Yarrowia lipolytica: one gene and its partners. The main gene of each other region encodes a partner of the protein of the gene in region 4 in a complex. Links are inferred from orthologs where the notes say so. Each region holds a gene or a part of one and is shown on either strand. Other genes may lie near its edges.

Region 1 (4,324 bases), on a different chromosome or scaffold from region 4:
ACAACAATCATCGAGACAGTGCCAAGCTGGACGAAAAGACGTACAAGAACATTACTAAGACAATGGAGACGCTGCAGAAGGAAGGCAAAATGACATGGCTGGAGTCGCGGTTCCTGCCATCGTCGTTCGAGATTCTCAGACAGTCTCGGCAGACGTTGCTGTGGACCTATGCGTTTGCATTTTTCTTGGACGCCCAGCCGGAGCGGGAAATCTTCCTCAAGAACCAGGAGGATCTTGAGCTGCACACCGAGGGGCTGTCAGAGCTGTTTGAGTACAAGTGGGACAGGATTCCGGGAGCCAAGGTCAACTTTCTGGACAAGTGCTCGTACCTCAAGTCCCGACGTCAGAAGCTTGTCGAGCATGTCATGAAGGGTATGGAGGAGCGCAACTGGAAGTTTTTGAACTGATCATGGGATTAAGCATTGAGATAACTGCAAATAGGAATAGCATATTTATTATTATCTGCACTGAACGAGGATGAATGGACCGTTCAGTTTTCGTAATGTGAACAATTTACTTATAGCGAGCTGAGGAAGAACGGGGCGGTTGTACGATACCATCGTACAAGCAGTAAACATGTATCTCTAGTTGTAGATATTACAGTACATACTGTATGATTAATCATGAAGAAAGTAAAAGTAGCCACTGCTGCGTACTACAAGGTATTGTACGCATGTACAGTATGTACATAGTGTACAAGTGTAAGTACAGTATGTACAGGATGTACCTATAGAATACCGACTGTGACAAGAACTTATTGCCATTAAATAATACATTCCATCTATACAATCTTAGTTCTAGTCCTTTACTTGAACCGCTTCTTTTCGACCAAATAGTCTCCTCCCTTCTCCTGCCACTCCTGTTTGCTGACCCACAGCTGATGGAACGATCCCAGGCTGCCCAAAACAGAACCGCCAATCCAAGCACCGTGTCGTCGCTCCTCCTGGTTGGAAGCAGCAGCAACTCGGACCTTAAGACCACTCAGGGCCTGGGTCACGTCCTTACTGACTCTATCACTGAGACCCTGAACCAGCGACCCTCCACCAGTGATAACAATGTTGTTAGCCAGGTGAGCCCTCACATCCACGTTGGAAGCGTTGATTGTGTCCACCACCATCTCACTGAGTCCCCGCGCAGTATCTGGCACAGTCTCTCCGTCAAAAGGGTACTCACTGGGCTTGAATAAGCTCTCAGAAGTAGACAGACGGTCTGCTCCGAAAGTTGTGCTGTAGCCCGTGGGGAACTCGAAGACCCGGTCGGCGGCTTCACCAGAGATTTCTGGAGTCAGGGGAACATCGTTCACCTGACACATGGAGTCCTTGAACTCAGAGAGAATACGAGACACCTGCAGATCAGTGAAGGAATGAGTGACGTTGGGAAGCTCCCGCTTGGTGAACACAGGTGGCTCACCCATCTCCACAGCCTTCTTGTTCTTAATCTCGAACCGAGGAGTGAGATCGATTCCTCGTGAAACAAGCACCTTTTTAATCTGTCTATCCAAATAGTCTCCAGCGTACTGTGACCGTCGCGCGGGCTTGTAAAGCACCAATCCATCAATGACAGGTGTCACAGAAGCCACTTCAGATCCTACATCCAGTACCAGTGCGTTTCCCTTTCCTGCAGCAAACGCAGAAGCCACAGCGTCCTTGACCAAGTACGATGCCGGGACCTCGAGGCTCTCGAACGCGATTTCAAGCGCCTTGAGCTTGTTGGCCTGCGTGTTCCAGCACGGCTCCGTCAGCATCAATGGGTGTGTCTTTGTGTCGGCATTGAGTCGAGCCAGCGAGTATTCCCAAATATTCTGCACCGCGTCCCAATCAGCCACAATCCCGTCGGTAAGAGGATGAAGCACCTCCATGTTGGGCAGTGGCAGATTGGCGGAGTCGCCAACCTTGTACTTGTTTAATTTTTTGGTTGTGTTGCTTGTATCGTCCTCCATCTCGACATCCTCGTCTGCCATCAGTCCACACTCTGTGGAAACCACCAGTTTGGGGGTATCTTCTCCGGCGTATCCGACTCGAGTGTACGACGACCCGGTGTCGATCACCAGGGTCGCCACCTCATCGCCTCCATACACCTGGGGGGCTGGAGCTGTTGTAGTCATGATGGGTGGTGTGTCGTCTTCAGATGGTAGTATGTATGGGGTACCAGTCTGTACGTGATATTTGATGGTGGAGAGTGTGACTGATCGTGCGTTCGAGTTTCGTTAATGCACGAAAATAACATTGGTTAGAGTTAATTAAGTCGAGGCCGAAACAAAAATTAACATGAGACTCAGTAGCACGAGACTACAGTTCGAAACGGCAACAAAAGGAGCAATTTCAAAGGCGAAAGCGCGAATATAATCTTCGAGACCGGCTGATCAAATATATTTCTCAAATCCCCACAATATCCCGTCTTGACAGTGACAAAACATTGTCCTCCATCCCAGGCACCTAGACAAACCTCCCAACAGGGTAAGGGCACCTGCACCCAATCAAAAGCCACCCTTGCTATTGCTGTTCCTCACCACACAAGGTCTGTACTGAACAGAAAAAAACCTCGACCAAACACACAATGATCAGAGCTACAGCCATGCACCGGTCAATTGTGCAGCGTCGCATGCTGAGCACCGCCTCTCGGCTCCAGCAGGCCGCCAAGCCCGCTACCGGCTCCACTGTTGGAACAGCCAATGGCGCCTCTGCTGCCTCGGGCAAGCCTCCCGGAGCCACCTTTGAGGGAGCCTCCAAGCAGAAGAAGAAGACTCACAAGTTCCGAAACTTTGTGCTGCTCTCCACCTTTGTCGGCGCCGGCGCCTTTGCCGGAGGTGTTTATTACTCCCTTCAGAACGACCAGTTCCAGAGCCTGTTTGTCGAGTACGTGCCCGCGGCCGAGCACGCCATCAACTACATTGAGGAGCAGCAGCTGCGATCCGGCCGACTCAAGATCGCGACTCCCACCTCCAAGCATGACGTTGACCAGTCCACCGTCCGAGTGCCCAAGTCCGGTGCTACCTGGCGAGCGGTCGACTCCACCGATGCTGCTACTTCTGCCAAGTCTGCATCTTCTCCCGCTGCCAACGTGGCCAAGGACGTCGCTTCCCCCGCTCCTGCTGCCACCGCCTCCCCTGTCTCTAGTGGTTCCCCCAAGACTGACAACACCACCGTGCCCGCTGTGCGACTGGCTAACGACTCTGACCCCGCCGTCAAGGCCGCCGTCCAGACCTTCAATGATCTGATCGCCGTGGCCCCCTCTGGTGCCGCCAAGCAGCTCTCCGCCAAGGTCTCCACCGTGGTCGACCAGCTGCAGCACAACGTGGCCCAGATCAAGTCTGAGGCCGCCGAGGAAGCTAAGAACTCCATCAACAAGCTCAACAGCGAGCTGGCCAAGCTCAAGGCTTCCACCGGCGAGGAAATCTCGTCTAAGGTGTCTGCCGCCGAGCAGCAGCTGCGAAACGAGTTTGCCGCTCTGCGAGCCCACTCTGAGAAGGTCTACCACGACCGTCTCCGAGTCGAGATTGAGGCCACCAAGTCCCTTGTTTCTTCTCACGCCAACAACCTGATTCAGGCCGTCGAGGCCGAGCGACAAAAGCAGTACGCCCAGGAGATTGCCGAGCGAGTCGAAACCGAGCGAGAGGGCCGTCTCTCCAAGCTCAAGGACCTCCAGACTTCCCTCACCCAGCTGCAGGACCTGGCTCTCAAGACCGAGCAGGCCGTTGACGCCTCCGGCCGAACCGCAGCTCTGCATCTTGCCATCGCTAAGCTCACCGGTGCTCTCAAGGGTTCCGAGCCCGTGGCCCTCGGCCCTTACGTCGAGTCCATCCGACGGGCTGCTGGTGACGATCCTCTGCTGCAGGCCGCTCTGGACTCTATTCCCGAGGTCGCTCAGACCGAGGGAGTTCTTACCCCTGCCCAGCTTACCATTCGATTCAAGCTGCTCGAGCCTGAGCTACGAAAGTCCTCTCTGGTTCCTGTTAACGCCGGTGTCGCCGGTCATCTGGGCTCCCTCATTTTCTCCTCTCTGCTGTTCAAGAAGAGCGGAGTGCCCAAGGGAGACGACGTCGAGAGTGTGCTTGCTCGAGCCAACATTGCTCTGGAGCAGGGCAAGCTATACGACGCCGTGGCTGAGGTCAACACTCTCAAGGGATGGCCCCGAAAGCTGGCCTCTGACTGGCTGGACGAGGGTCGACGACGAACCGAGATTGAGTTCCTCGCCGACGTCATTGCCGAGGAGGGCAAGCTGTACGGAGCTCTTTCTAGCAAGAAGTAGACGGAAGGGAAAATATACAATAGATTTTGATTATGACGGAAAGAGTGTATATATTAAGCGGGTGGGCAGACATGAA
Region 2 (4,274 bases), on a different chromosome or scaffold from region 4:
AAAGTTCCGTGGGTCGTACTCTGTTGCACTCTTGGGTTCGAAAAACAAGTCAACCCAATCGAAACATTGAGGTGGGTCGACTGACTGATCAACATCTGTGGAATCACCGGTATCACCGACCATCATCCATCCGGGAATGAACTTCTGAGGGACAATCTTGGTCGCGACTTTCTCCTCGGTAATCTCCAGAGTGGTATCATCTTCCGAGGGGGGTTGCGTGGTCTGTGTAGTGTCGGACTCGTGGACAGCAGCAAAGGTAGTCTCCCAAGCCTCGGGAGCCAAAGGAAAGACTACCCGAGATTTCTCAATGGTTTCAATGTCCCATTGGAAGTCAGCAACAGGACCGTCATTGCTGAAGTCGACCTCAAAGGCGGTGATGAGAGGATTGGCAGCAACAGGAACAGGTTCGGTGGACTTGGGTCGTAGCGTGGCCTTGCTCTTGGCCGGTGGCAGGGCCTTTTTCTTGGAAATCTTGAAGCTGTGGTGGATTGCCATCGCGTATGGGTGTCCGGATGAGTAAAATACATACATTGTGATTCCAATTATATAAATATTGAGATGATTGCAAGACATTGGCCCTGTAACGGGTGACAAGCTGATAATAAATATGAACAAGTGCGGTTGAGGCACACTTCTTTGTTCTGCGCCATACCTGACTGCAGCTGATAAGGACGGATTTTTTACCAAGCAAACCGCAGCTGTGCAGCTGTGAATACGGGGGGCTTCCACTTGAGGAGCTCCGAGTTGACCTTTCGGCGCCGCTTTTTGAGCATCTTTTCATACTTTTCGCACACACTGTCTGTCAAACAAATGATGTGTTGGCCCTTGTAGTACTTGAGCATGTTGTATGTCTGCAGGGTATGCAGCACATCTGTAGTGGTCATGGCGGTCACGGAGGCAATGTCTTCGATTGTCATCTCCTGCTTACCCTTCTCCATGAGCAACTCAATAATGGTGTCTGCCCAATAGGCTCGGTATGACAGCAGACCCAGATCTGAAAGAGGCTTTTCTGGGGAACCAGTCTTGCCCTCAGCCTTGGAAAGGGCATATGAGAAGTCAATAAGAAGGCGGCCATAACCGTGACGCTGGTATTGCGGCAGTGTGAGAATACAAGCGACATTGTATCCCTCAGCAGACTCCTTCTCCTTGGAAAAGTATCCTACCAGATGGTGACCCTTCTCATCTCGTCGAGTCATGCAGTAGAAAAGGAAGGGGTCCACATCGTAGTAGAGAGTCTTATGATCCAGGAAAAGCTTTGAAAGGAGACACAGGTTTCGGCACCATGTTCTCTGCTTTCTGCCGTCAATCTCGAAGAAACTGACTGCCTCATCTCGATAGATTTCGTTCCCAGGAGGATGTCTCAGAGTGGATTTGGATCTGAACCGCTCAAACTGCTTCTTGGACCCGAAATAACACAGGGTAAAGTCGCAAATGTAGATTTCATCTTCTTCGGTCAGCTCGATAGGATAGGGAGAAAAGTACCACGGTTCGATGACATGATTGCCTAGAACAATTCTCTGTAAATTTCGAACTCGAGCCACCTCATGACTGCTCTGTGTCATACTTCCTCCAGTTCTGAGCTTCTCAATCTCCTCGTCACGGTTGAAATTGTCGGGGTCCTGGGTGGTGCCGTTAACCTGGAGGTTGTCCAGGTCCATGACATCTTCCGAATTGGCTCCAGGAGTAGTTGCAGCCGAATCTGTGAGCTTCTGCTTCTTGGAGGGGTTCTTCTTCTTCTCCTTGCTGCTCTCCTTTGCAGCACCACTGAGAGGCTTCTTGGGCTTCTCTGGCTCGGGCCAAATGACACCCTGTGACAAGTCGACTCGAGTAGCCGCAATACGCTCATCCAGACGCTTGTTGAACTCGACGTAGTGCACATAGAACTCGAGGTTACCACGTCTCATTTGCACGCTGAGAATTTCAGCAACTCGGTCCTCACCGTCTTTCTCGACGTGGACTTTGCAGCCCACACGGAGCTCGTTGATTGCCACGTTCATGTCGACCTTCTGAACGGGCGCAGGAGTCTCCTCGGACCCCGAGGCTTTGCCGTTGGTTTTGCCGTTGGGCAAGTCTGCTTCTGCGAGAGCCATCTTTGGAGGTGTTGTGAGCGACAGTAAACTGCCTGGGTGTTATATAGCTTCGTCGCGCTATTGCTCGTTGATGTTCGGGTGGCGACAAAATTTTGATAAACTGAAAATAGTTATGGTCACGTGATGTTGGGAGATGAGTACAGCCACCTTAATAGAGACAGGAATGTGCCAGTTACTGTAGGGGGGAATTTACGAAATATCGTCTTGTTATATGATATTATTCAGTTATTAAATCTGCGATTATATTGGTGAAACACACATATATCCAACTGTACAAGTACAATGTACATGTAGTTGTTATTTCATTTTTATTTGGAGACCATCCATTTTTATGTTTCCGGAAAAAAATGAAAATTGTATAAGTATGGTTCTGGAATTGGGTCCATATACTGTGCCTGTATTGGTACCACTGGCCTACAAGTAGAGCGAAGGCTGAAAAGGAGGGAAAGCAAAACAAAAGAATGACAACGCCAACCAATACAATTGTACTTGTAACTAAAAATACATTAAATATGCGAAATTCTGATACACCATCCCTCTAATAGGTCTGGTATATCTTGGGTTTCCATTCGAGACCGGGATCACTTTCTGCTGTGGCATTGGGCTTCTCGCGCCACATTTTGATGCTCTTGTCAGCCTCACAGGTGATGAGGCGAAGACCAGTCTTGTCGAAACTGGAGTCGAAAATACCGTTTTCACTCTCGATAGATCCTGGGATGGGAATAGACTGGGTGCTCTGGAACATATGTCCAGTCTTCCAGTCATAAAAGCCAATAGAGCCGTTGTCGCCTCCCGAAAACATGACGTTGTCTTGGTTAACGGACAGGGTATTGATGATAGCGTTCTGGTCGTCGTAGTTGAGCACTAGATCGCCCTCGGGACACTTCCATTGCTTACTGGAGTTAGCAGAGGCCGTGGAGAAAGTGAACTCCTCGGGATGTAAAGTGAGGCCTCGCACACTCTTCTTGTGATGCGTGAGCGTTGTCATGGTCTTCCCGGCCTGTAGGTTCCACAGTCGCACAGTCTCATCTGCCGAAGCTGTAATCACCTGGGGTTCAGAGGCCTGGAACTTGACTCTGTTGATAGTCGACTTGTGTCCACTGAGAACAACCACAGGGTCACGAGTACGAATGTCCCACACACGGGCCACAGCGTCTCGACCAGCAGACACTAGGACATCCAGAGTAGGATGAATGTCCAGCGAGTAGACTGCAGAGAGATGGCCATGGTAGTGTCGAACGACCTTGTTAGTTTCCAGATCCCAACACTTGACCATCTTGTCTTCACCTCCCGAAAACATGTAAGGATGTCGTGGCGACACTCCCAATGCTCTAACACCCATAATGTGTCCTGTGAGAGTCAGTCGCAATTTTCCTGTAGCCAGATCCCAGATCTTGATAGTCTTGTCTGCAGAACCTGTAGCAAACCACTGGTTCTCTGGTTCAACACAAACAGATCTCACCCAGCCCTGATGGCCTGTAATGACTCTGTAGATCTCCCATGGTGCGTGCCACGCCGGTTTCGACTGTGTAAGGTTGGCTCCGAGATTAGTGAGACTGTCGTGTGTAGTTGGTTGGCTTGCAGAGGGCGTGTGTTTCGTGAGTGCCGAGGAAGAAGCTCCCATCAGAGCCTTCTGGCCGCTCTGAGATCCTCCTGCGATTCGCTGGACTGCCACACCTCCTGTGGCTTCCACTGCCAAACCCTTCTCTGCCATTTTGGCAGCCACCTGCTTTGCTAGGTATGGTGGAAGTTCGAGGTTCTGGAACTCCCTGAGTTTTTGAGCACGTCGGATATTTCGAGAGGGTTCATTTTCGCCGGTCGCGAGAGTACCATACTCTGGAAACAGGTCTTTGGCGACAGGCATGTGTGGATTACAAGTTCCTTGTAGTCTCTGATTATGACGGCTGAAATGTTCATGCAAGTTATTCAGATAGCCTTGTACAGGTTATGAGTGGTGTGAGCAGGGGAACAAGTTGGAAACTGGATAAACGAAATATGATTGGCCAGATTCAACTCTGCTTCAAAAATGAAACAATTCTTCTTTCACACTCCAGATATTACTCCCCCTGAGCCTCGTTTTCGGTTACTGTAACCCTCCCCTAATTATCGTTGTGCTCTTGAACTGGGAGGCGTCCACATAAACTTTTACACCATTTCCTCTTTCTCCCCACCGCAACCATGTCC
Region 3 (4,202 bases), about 2.3 Mb from region 4:
GAAAAGACACGTCCAAGAACTCCGTCCACCTTCTTTCGAATCAGGTAGGGCAGACTGACCACTGAGTGGCTCATTTCCACATAATTTCGCATGGCGAGATCGACAATAGCAACAAGATCCTTGTGTCGTCGCTCGGTGTAGGTGTTAAAGGCCTCCTCGACGTTCCATTTCTTTTCATCCAAAATCTCCATGAGCACCCGGATGTCTTCAAATCCGGCGTTCATTCCCTGGCCGTAGAACGGAACCATGCAGTGGGCTGCGTCGCCTACGAGCAGACACTCGCCCTTGTGATTATAAGGAGAGCACTTAAGGGACACCAGGGGGGACCGGGGGTTGTTTTCGTACGACTCCAGAATCTGAGACTCGCCCATCAGCTCGTATGCGTCTGGGAACTGCTCCTTGAAGAAGGAAATGAAGGTGTTTTGGGATTCACACACCTGTTCCATGAGCGCCGGGGGAGCAAACAGCGTAGATGTGAACGAGCCATCACCGTTGGCCAGTGCAATGAGCATGTATTTGTGTCGGGGCCAAATGTGCAGGTGGTTGGGCGAGATGGAAAACGGATCGGGTCCGTCGGCCTTGGGGATCTTGAGTTCCAGGTAGACACAGTCAATGTACTGCTGGGCGTAGTTCATTCGGACGTATCGCTGGAGTCGATCTCTGGTCTTGCTGAAGGCTCCATCTGCTCCAATAATGTAGTCACTTTCCACGACCCTCTCTTCGCCCTCCTTGGTCTCAAAAGTCGATGTCGGTCGCTGGTACTTTTTGTCCTTTCGGCTGAGCGAAATGTTGGTTAGTTTGTGCTCGGGGAAGAAGGTGATGTTGGCGTTATCTTCAATCACGTCCAGCATGGTTCGGTTGAGCTGGGCTCGGTCAATCGAGTTGATACACTCGCCCCATAGGCCGTAAGCCTGAGCATGTTGTCCTCCCTGGAGATCGTGGATCATACGACCGTACATGGGGATAATGTCGGCCAGCACTCGCTCGGCCATCTTGGTGTCGACAGATCTGAGTGCCTCGATGCCTCGAGCAGACACAGCCAGGTTAATGGATCGCAACGAGGCGTTTTTGAGCTCCGCCTCGGACCGGAGATCAGGACGAGCATCGTAAAGCGCCACCTTGTGGCCGCGATCTGCGAATGCCAGAGCCGCCAGACAGCCCACAAGACCCGCTCCTACCACTGTGACTTCGTGCATGCTGAAAAAAGATATTTTAGGCGCCTTTTCAGGTTAGATGGTCGGGGTGTATCGCCTTACCAACGGTTGGGAGTACTACTACAGTAACCAAGTGGGGTCATGCGTGCGGCGTAGTCTTTCATATTGGTGGCACGACACTCGTAGTCACGATTGGAAAAAAGTATCGTAGGCGATGGGTGGATTTATATAGTTGCTAATGATGTTAAAAATATGTCTCTATGCAATTGGTCCCTTAAACCCGCCCCGCAAGTTTTCGCTGGTTGTGATGCTCAGTTGACAATCTACCAACCGTCTTTTTTTAGGATTTTTAGAAAAGGTTGTTTTTTACTTGGGATTAGTTGAAGAAAAAAGTCGGCTGGGGGTTCAAATTCGAGGTTCCAGTTATACGAGAGTTACAAGAGTCAAATAAAAACATGTAACCAAAGAGTCTCTTTCAAATGACATAAAAAAAACCTTGTAGCCATATAGAAATATTGCAAGATATCTTGGTTTATGTAAATTATTTAGGTTATCATTTACTTGGGTTTAGTTAAGCGTTTGAATGACTTTTGAGCAGTGTAGGGAACCACTCAGAGCCCTCAAAAAGAGGATAGAAGATCTCAGGGGGCTGTTTAAGCTACTATAACCAGCTCAACCGACAATCTCAATACACAACAAAAGCTCCAGGTAGCCATTGCGCCAATACACAGCAACACAGTAGCGCATGTTTTTCACTCTTCCACAACCCTGACACACAGATTAGGAGTATCGAAACGGCGTATACAAACTAATATTTGCTGAAAACACACTCATCCACCGGGTAAAAAAAACGTTCTCGTTTCTTTTCTCACGCCATACACTCTCAACCTCACCTTCTTCCTCCTCTCGTTGTATTTTTCACGCGTACTTGCGCTACTAACTCGCCAACTCTATATCACCACTTTAGGACGCTCCTCCTACTTCACCACCAACCCACATACACACAATCTCCGCAATCATGGTTCTAGCCACCAATTCGCGGTGCCTGGCGTACCATGGTCCGCTGCTCTACGAAGCAAAGATCCTCATGTCTTACGACCCCTCCAAACGCGGCTCTAAGGCCAAGGTGGAGGACGGGCTTCCGCCCACGGTTGAGATCGGAAACGTGGTCAACACTCACAAGCGCAAGCGGGGTCCTCGCGCCTCTCTTCCTGCTGCGGGCGCAACGCCCGATGGAGACGACTCCAACGACAAAAACCGACACTTTAGTCCAAAGGAAGGGAAACCTGACGTGCCCGCAGATCTGGCCGACGAAAACGAGGACAAAATCTGCTACTACGTGCACTACAAGGGCTGGAAAAACACGTGGGACGAGTGGGTCGGCGAGGAGCGGGTACTGGCTCTCAACGAGGACAACATCAAGCTACAGAAGGAGCTCAAGGCTGCGGCTCTAGCAGCGGCCAAGAAGGGCAAGGATTTTGACGCCCTGGCTCCTCCCGAGGCGCTCAGTGAAACGGCCTCTCCGGCACCAACCACAAAGCGCAAATCCATGGCATCAAAGGACTCTCCTGCTGAGGGACCCCGTCCCGTGAAACGACGAGGGGGACTCGCTGCCCTGGAGGACCTCGAGAAGGAAGACGACTATCTAAAACGCAAGGAAATTGCGCTTGTTGTGCCCGACAAGCTCAAGGCCCAGCTGGTAGACGACTGGGAGTTTGTCACCAAGGACCACCAGCTTGTCGGCTTGCCCCGGAAGGTGACGGTGGTGGACATTCTCAAGGAATTCAAAAAGGAGGCGGAGGCCAAATATAGACCTGGCTCTGCCGACGCCGATATTCTCAACGAGGTGGTGTCGGGAATCAAGCTCTACTTTGATCGCTCGCTGGGCTCAATCTTGCTCTACAGATTCGAGCGAGAGCAGTACCTACAAATCACCCAGAGCCCAGACCACTCCAACAAGACCATGAGCGAAGTCTACGGCGCGGAGCATCTGCTGCGGCTGTTTGTGTCGCTCCCGGGGCTCATTGCTATGACCAACATGGATGCCCAAAGCGTGGCGGTGCTCAAGGAGCACTTGGAGGACTTTGTGCGGTTTCTGTCGACCCACCAGAAAACGTACTTTTTGAAGGAGGCTTACACAAATGCTTCGCCCGCATACGAGGCTCTGTCCAAGGGTCTTTAGGGTTAGAAACGAAGAGCGAGGCAAAGAGTCGCGCAGCGATTCCCTCCGAGCTGGCCTACCGACAACATCATCTGTCATAGGCCGTTGGTCGGTGGTGATTAATCACGTTTGACCATATAGCTAGCTAACTACTCAATACATGTATAACAGTGGGTGTAACGGTGTAAAGTGCTACAATGACACAAGTTTGCGAAAGGAATCGTTTTGTTTATTCAATAAATACAGAAAAGCGCTTAGAAAAAGACTATATATATAAAAAGAGAGGTGCAGGCGTGAATGTCAAAAAAGTTGAAATCTAGTTTGGTTTAAGCCGTCAAACCAAAGTCGAAATCAAGATCGAGCTCGGGAAGCATGTTTCTAGACTCCCGGGAAGGTCGTCGGACATGCGAGCCTTCAGGCCGGGGTCCAGAGGGTACCCGCTTCTTGATTTGCAAGGGGGGGATGAAAGAAGAGCTCACACTAGTCTCATAAGTGGCAGGACGGGCCTCAGGAATGCAAGCTTTGACTGGAGAGTCGTAAGACGACTGGAAGGTGGCTGCTGATGCCATGGAAGGGGAGGTCATAGGCGAAGTGTCCGAAGCAGAAGACATATCTGCCTCTGTGAAGTCGGAAGACATGTCTGTAGAAGCAAAGCTCTGGACCGACATTCGAGCTGTGAGAGTTCGGGGTGTCTCGGGCTCGGTGTTGTAAGGAGTAGCAGAAGGCATTGAATGGATGCCCAGCGATCCGTACGAGTCCACAGTGACTACAGAGGGATGCATGGAGCCTGTGGGCATGAAGGAGGCCGAGGCAACAGCTGCATGGGGGGTCTTGGCGATGACAGACGAGGAGTACAGAGCAGGCTTCTTCTCCTTCTTCTCCTTCTT
Region 4 (5,674 bases):
GCTCGAGCTAGGATTTATCGCGCAGAAGGATAACAACGTGTCTTACACTGAAAATGCCTCCTCTGCATACCGCATACAGATAGCAATCATAGACAAGGCCTGTAAGCATGAAAATGCATTGATAGCTTAATATCACGTTGTTTCAGAATCATCAAGTGATCTGTAAATCATTCGGAGCATGGAGACCGGAGATAGGGATGAGGCAGCATAGGTATATATAGCGTGCCCATCTTCGTAACTTCACTCCACACACACACATACACCAACACAAACACACACACAATGTCTGCTGACCACGTCGATAACACCATCAAGAAGGACGCCTCCAAGGCTGGCGATGACTTCAAGAAGGGCTCTGAGAGCCTCGGAGATGACGTCAAGAAGGGCTGGGATGAGCTCAAGGAAGGCGCCTCGGACGCCCAGAAGAATCTCGGCAAGGAGAACGAGAAGATTCACGACACCTTCTCCGGCGATTTTGACAAGAAAGCCCACCAAGAGGGCGAGAAGCTCAAGGATGCTAACGAAAAGTGGACCCACGGAGTCCACGACAAGGCCGAAGACTTCAACAAGGACGTCAAGAACGAGTTCAACAAGGTTGAGAAGAACACCGAGCACGAGAACGAGAAGATCCGAGACACCTTTGACAGCAAGGGACAGCCCCACGGCACCTGGGACAACTTCAAGGAGGGTGCCTCCCATGCCCAATCTGATCTTGATTCTGCCAACAAGCGATTCACATCTGCCGTCGACGAGTCAAGCGAACATTTCGGCAAGGCCGTCAACAGTGCTTGGGACTCTCTCAAGAGTGGAGTCAATGGGCTGATTGGCGGAGAGAAGAAGTAACCAGTGCGCGGGTTTGAACATATATTATAGACAATGGAGTTACGGAATGAGGATATGGTTACGAGATAGTAGCAGAGAGAAAGCTACTTTTACATGACGAAGTGTTGTAAAAGTACAGTAGCTACAAGTACTGTAGAGTTCAATAATATTATCTGTATACATAAATAATCGGACGGCCATCTTACTCGGATGGACCTTGTCCTTGGTTTTGTCCCTGGGTCTGTCCCTGGTTCTGCTGTGCTGCTGCTGCTGCTGCTGCTGCTGCTGGTTCATTCGCATAAGCATGGCGTGCTGCTGGGCGGGGCTCTGACCTGGTGAAGCAGACCGTTGCTGCTGTTGCTGTTGGAGCTGTACGTTCATCAGTTGTGGCGATTGCATGTTCATGGGAGTCGAAGAACCCGAACGCATCTGAGGAGAGGGTTGTCCCTGGGGCTGTCCAGGACGCATCTGTCCCTGAGGAGGAGTCTGTCCCTGAGCCTGACGAGCTACTCGCTGCTGCTTCTGGACAAACCGCTGCACCTGCACATGCGCCAGCTTGGTGGCGGCCTCCAGAGACAAAGCAGGGTTTTGGTTCTGCAACTGGCGAATTAGAGCATTCAGATGCTCGTTGGGGGCAGCTGCCTGGGGACCTCCGGGTCGCATTCGCATGTTGGGACGCATCATCTGGGCCTGATTTCCAGCTTGGCCAGGAGGAACCTGTCCCTGTTGAGCAGGCATCTGGCCCTGAGGTATCTGGCCGGCCGGTCTCTGAGCCATACCAGCCTGACCGGCAGCCACCTGAGCGCCCTGGACGTTCTGGTTCACCTGTCCCTGCACCTGGCCTGGCTGAGGAGGCACCTGCCCCTGGGTTCGCATAAACTGCTGCTGCTGCTGTTGTTGCAGCATCTTCTGCTGCTCCATGAGCTGCCGCTGTCGATCAAACTGCATCATCTGGTGCTGGTCGTTCATCTGGCCAGGCATTCTGTTCATGCCCACACCAGCCATACGCTGCTGCATATGTCCAGAGGCGGCAGCAGCAGCTCGAGCCTGTGCCTGCGTGTGTGCCTGAATTTGAGCCGCGGTCTGAGGAGGAGGAGGTCGTTGACCGGGGAACTGACGGTTAGCAGGAATGTTAGAAGGTACCGGGGGCATCTGACCAGGCATCTGACCAGGCATCATCCGCTGCTGAGCGTAAGCCTTTGCGAGATTCTTATCCTGCTCAAACTTCATCTTGCACAGATCCAGAGGCGAAGCAATATCTTTCTTGTTGGACTCGGATAGCTGCGACTTTCGAGGCGGCTGAGGGTTAGGTCGGGGGGTAGTTTCTCGTTTTCGCATGCTCTTTCGAATACCGTCAAACATGGAAGCCCATCGCAGCTTCCGGTGACCTCTCTGGATAGACTCATTCGACACACCAAGAGGCGAGATGCGACGCTTGGACTGAGCCTGGGCTTTGGCAGCAGCGGCCATCCATTGCTGGGCAGCCTGAGCGTAGGGACCACGCAAATCCGTCAGAGAAAACGTCGGATTGAGCTGGAACCAACGCTCGAAGCACTGCCATGACGTACGTCTCTCAATGTTAGCTGTGAAGCCGTAAGTTTTTTGGGGCAGCATGTGGGCAGACACAATGTCCCAGTTGTAGGAATACTCCTTGACCAGTCGAAGAAGCTGTGAATCATCAGCCAATAACCACATTGTTGGCGTTCGGAAGTCGAGGTACTTGGTCTGTGGAGGCTGCGGCGCCTTAATGACGACATGTCGGCGCATGGTCTCCGAATTGAACAGTGTAGAACGAGTGTTAGATCGTAGAGGGAGAGTGTCCTCATCGGCAGGAGAGTCTTCAAGACATACCGACCACCAATCATCTTGCTCCGGGGGAGCCGCTAGAAGATGCGTGACAGGTGCGAGTTTTGAGTTGTCCAGAGGATCGCTGTAGGGAACCTGTAGAGCATTAACGGCAGAACCAGGAGGTGTAGTGACAGGGAGGTTGTCAAAGAGAGCCTTGGATAGAGGGTCCAGCTTGTCCACTGAGGCGTACAGCTTGAACGGAGAGCTCTCAGGAAGTTTAGGAGCAGCAGGTCGCTTGGGCACCTCCCCACCGACGACCTCTTCACTGTCTGTAGAAGGCTCTTCCGGCTTGTCTTCAGACTCCTCAGTCGATGACAGTGTCCTGGGTTGTGAGAGGAGAGTATCGTAGTCAACAACAGTGACAGAATCCGCTGCTGAGATGTTTGTCACCTCAACAGGGTTGATACTTGGTGGTGGCATGCTTGTATCAATGTCCATCTTGCTCTCTGTATCTTCAGACTCGTTAATTTCCTCTGGTAGGAACTTGATAGGCTTCGTCTTCACACAACAAGCTTCCTTACCGTACTTGTGGTACTCCAGCACGGAAAAGGCAATTTCACAAGCCATCGCCTGCTTGAATTTTCTCTCCTCCCGGAAATCCGTAGACATCCACTCCATTTCATCTAACACATGGTCCCAGTGTGTTTTCCGTCGGATAGGGTCCTGGAACCGCTTTGGCTGCCTGGGGCCCCATTTCCCTGCCCGCTTCAGCTCCTCTATACGAGCATGTGCTACTGCAAGCTTGCCCTCCAGCAACGCCAGATGGTAGGAGTCTGTGGTAAGTGTTTTGTGCGCCGACGGAATAAGCTTGGACAGTGGTAGGGTCTGTGTGGTGTAGTATAGCTCAGCGAGCGACTTAGTTTCTGTGGTGGGTTCGGGGATGTTGCTGGGCACCAGAAACAGCAGCATTTCCTGCAGTTGCTGCTCGTTTGTTTTGAGTGATGTGCGTGAGAATGTAGGTGACAGTTGCGCAATACTAGACGTACGTCGTCGCTTCAACTCTGGAGAAGAGCCTGCATCAGGTGTCGAGGTTTGAAGGGTCGGCACTGGCTTGGGCTCTTCGACCGCCTTTGGTAATTTGTTTTCGTCGAAAAGTCGGTTTTGTGTCAGGTCGAACTGGTCCTGGAACTGCTTCAGTTTCTGTTTGGCATCCAGACCTTGGGGGTACCGAGGGTGCAAGGAGACGTAGTATAGCTCTTCAAGCCGACGTTTACGCGTCGACACAATGTCTCCGCACGTCTCTTGCCGCGGGTCCATCATGCTGGTTGACGCTGAGAGAGTGAATACGCGGGAGTTATGGTGATGTAATTCACGTGATGGGCGAAAAAATGTACACGTTGTTCTCAGTTCGATTTTTAGGATTGTCTATTTTAGCAAAGCAATGGTAAATTGCTGAAACTGGAAGTTATAGCCAGACATGGCACTTACGTTCACAATAATAAGGCATATTTTTTATTTAGACGATCATTAATCACATATCTGACAAGTTGCTCACCCATCCTTCTTCAAGCTGCTGCTTATTAATGGACGTCGTCTGACAGCCCCAATGCACATCAATCTCGTCCACCAGTTTAAGATTCAAATAATTTACAACGGCTGGTCTGGATAGACTGAATTTGTGGATGGAATATCGCCTGTGGCAAAGAGAAGCAAGCCTATAATTTGACAGCCGTTATCTCGCAACATTATGGACGAGTTGTCAAGGGAGGCAGATGCGATTCTAGATGATGACAGTGTCCTGGAGGAGGACAAGATCGAGCTTTTGGAAGAGCTCGTGGTGAAACATCATGGAGAAATGTCTTCTAGCGAACGGGAGAGCATGGTGCTGGATCTCATGTGGAAACATCGTGAGAAGGAGGGCTCGGTCACACGTCACCGCAATGGTCATGGAGATGTGCGGATTGTGGGTGTCGACAAGTCCAAGAGCATCGACTGGGTCAAAATCCCAGAGGTGCTTCCAGAAATCGACTGGTCCAAAGTTGTGGACGACTACAAGAAGCGAGGCAAGGCCGTTCCCTTACGGGATAAGCTGCCTGAGGACGAGGAGGAGGTCTACTGGGAAGATTATGTGCCTGACAGTGAAGGTCATGTGGGGCATGGAGAGACCGATCTGGCACCTTTTGATCTTCTTAGAGCCGTGCTTGGAGGCAATTACTCCGATGAACTGATCCAGAACACACTGGAGAAGCACAACTACGACATCAATGTGGTTATTGTGGTGCTACAAAAGTACGACGACCGTTCAGGTTCTGAGCATGTGGAGGAAGAGGAGCAGGCCGCTCAGGTTTACGAGATGGAACATCATCAGGAAGTACACGATTACAGCGGCTACAACAACTACGAGGACCCCAGCATGTACGAGGAAGAGTACGATGAGGACGAGAAAGAGGTCTATGCGGCACTGGCTCTGTTGCCAGGAAGAGAGGAGAAGGTTCTCTGTAAGTACTTTGTGCAGTTTGGAGAGTGTTTGCGGGCAGATTGCAGATATTCCCATGATCTGACATCACGTGTGTGTCGATTTTGGGTCCGTGGCGCGTGCTTGAATGGCGAGACTTGTGCCTTCCTGCATTCCTTTCCAGAGACCGAGTCTACTCCAGAGCCCACAAAGCCTCTGGAGAACTTCTCCAAGCCCATGCTTGACTCCTTGGAAGATTTCCCCACTCTGGGAGGAGCAAGTGGAACAGCTAGTGACACAAAGTCCAAAAAAAGGGAGAAGCCAGGTAGCAAATGGGCAGCTGTGGCCAGTTCTAATGACACACAAACTGTTGCTGAGAAGCCCAAGAAGAGGTTTGATTTCAGCAAGGTGAAGCCTACTGAATCTTTTGTGCCTGGTACTGCTGGTGTCCCTTCTTTTGTGCCTAAGGCATTCACTCCTACAGCACCTAGTTTCACTCCTACCGCACCTAGTTTCACACCTGCCAAAATTTCGCCTGCCAAAGGACCGGCAGCTCGCATGGCTGTGCAAAAACACAACCCTCTGACTCTTCTTCGACCAGAATTCACT

What was found.
Region 1: YALI1_D35907g (region 4) and YALI1_F34928g share a complex: the UniProt entries of both Saccharomyces cerevisiae proteins name them as parts of the nuA4 histone acetyltransferase complex. The link is inferred for Yarrowia lipolytica from reciprocal best matches to the Saccharomyces cerevisiae genes EAF1 and ARP4.
Region 2: YALI1_D35907g (region 4) and YALI1_E05645g share a complex: the UniProt entries of both Saccharomyces cerevisiae proteins name them as parts of the nuA4 histone acetyltransferase complex. The link is inferred for Yarrowia lipolytica from reciprocal best matches to the Saccharomyces cerevisiae genes EAF1 and ESA1.
Region 3: YALI1_D35907g (region 4) and YALI1_D12483g share a complex: the UniProt entries of both Saccharomyces cerevisiae proteins name them as parts of the nuA4 histone acetyltransferase complex. The link is inferred for Yarrowia lipolytica from reciprocal best matches to the Saccharomyces cerevisiae genes EAF1 and EAF3.

What each region holds. Positions count from the first base shown.
Region 1 is NC_090775.1:3,490,749-3,495,072, forward strand, and holds YALI1_F34928g (uncharacterized protein), read right to left. Parts: upstream 2,105-4,324; coding exon 806-2,104; downstream 1-805. Other genes in the region: YALI1_F34895g (uncharacterized protein), read left to right, coding at 1-407; YALI1_F34933g (uncharacterized protein), read left to right, coding at 2,557-4,248. UniProt on the Saccharomyces cerevisiae protein: Chromatin interaction component of the NuA4 histone acetyltransferase complex which is involved in transcriptional activation of selected genes principally by acetylation of nucleosomal histone H4 and H2A. The NuA4 complex is also involved in DNA repair.
Region 2 is NC_090774.1:562,459-566,732, forward strand, and holds YALI1_E05645g (uncharacterized protein), read right to left. Parts: upstream 2,091-4,274; coding exon 681-2,090; downstream 1-680. Other genes in the region: YALI1_E05630g (uncharacterized protein), read right to left, coding at 1-573; YALI1_E05664g (uncharacterized protein), read right to left, coding at 2,629-3,954. UniProt on the Saccharomyces cerevisiae protein: Catalytic component of the NuA4 histone acetyltransferase (HAT), a multiprotein complex involved in epigenetic transcriptional activation of selected genes principally by acetylation of nucleosomal histones H4, H3, H2B, H2A and H2A variant H2A.Z.
Region 3 is NC_090773.1:1,246,329-1,250,530, reverse strand, and holds YALI1_D12483g (uncharacterized protein), read left to right. Parts: upstream 1-2,172; coding exon 2,173-3,336; downstream 3,337-4,202. Other genes in the region: YALI1_D12493g (uncharacterized protein), read right to left, coding at 1-1,196; YALI1_D12447g (uncharacterized protein), read right to left, coding at 3,642-4,202. UniProt on the Saccharomyces cerevisiae protein: Component of the NuA4 histone acetyltransferase complex which is involved in transcriptional activation of selected genes principally by acetylation of nucleosomal histone H4 and H2A. The NuA4 complex is also involved in DNA repair.
Region 4 is NC_090773.1:3,586,672-3,592,345, forward strand, and holds YALI1_D35907g (uncharacterized protein), read right to left. Parts: upstream 3,931-5,674; coding exon 883-3,930; downstream 1-882. Other genes in the region: YALI1_D35870g (uncharacterized protein), read left to right, coding at 283-843; YALI1_D35911g (uncharacterized protein), read left to right, coding at 4,358-5,674. UniProt on the Saccharomyces cerevisiae protein: Component of the NuA4 histone acetyltransferase complex which is involved in transcriptional activation of selected genes principally by acetylation of nucleosomal histone H4 and H2A. The NuA4 complex is also involved in DNA repair.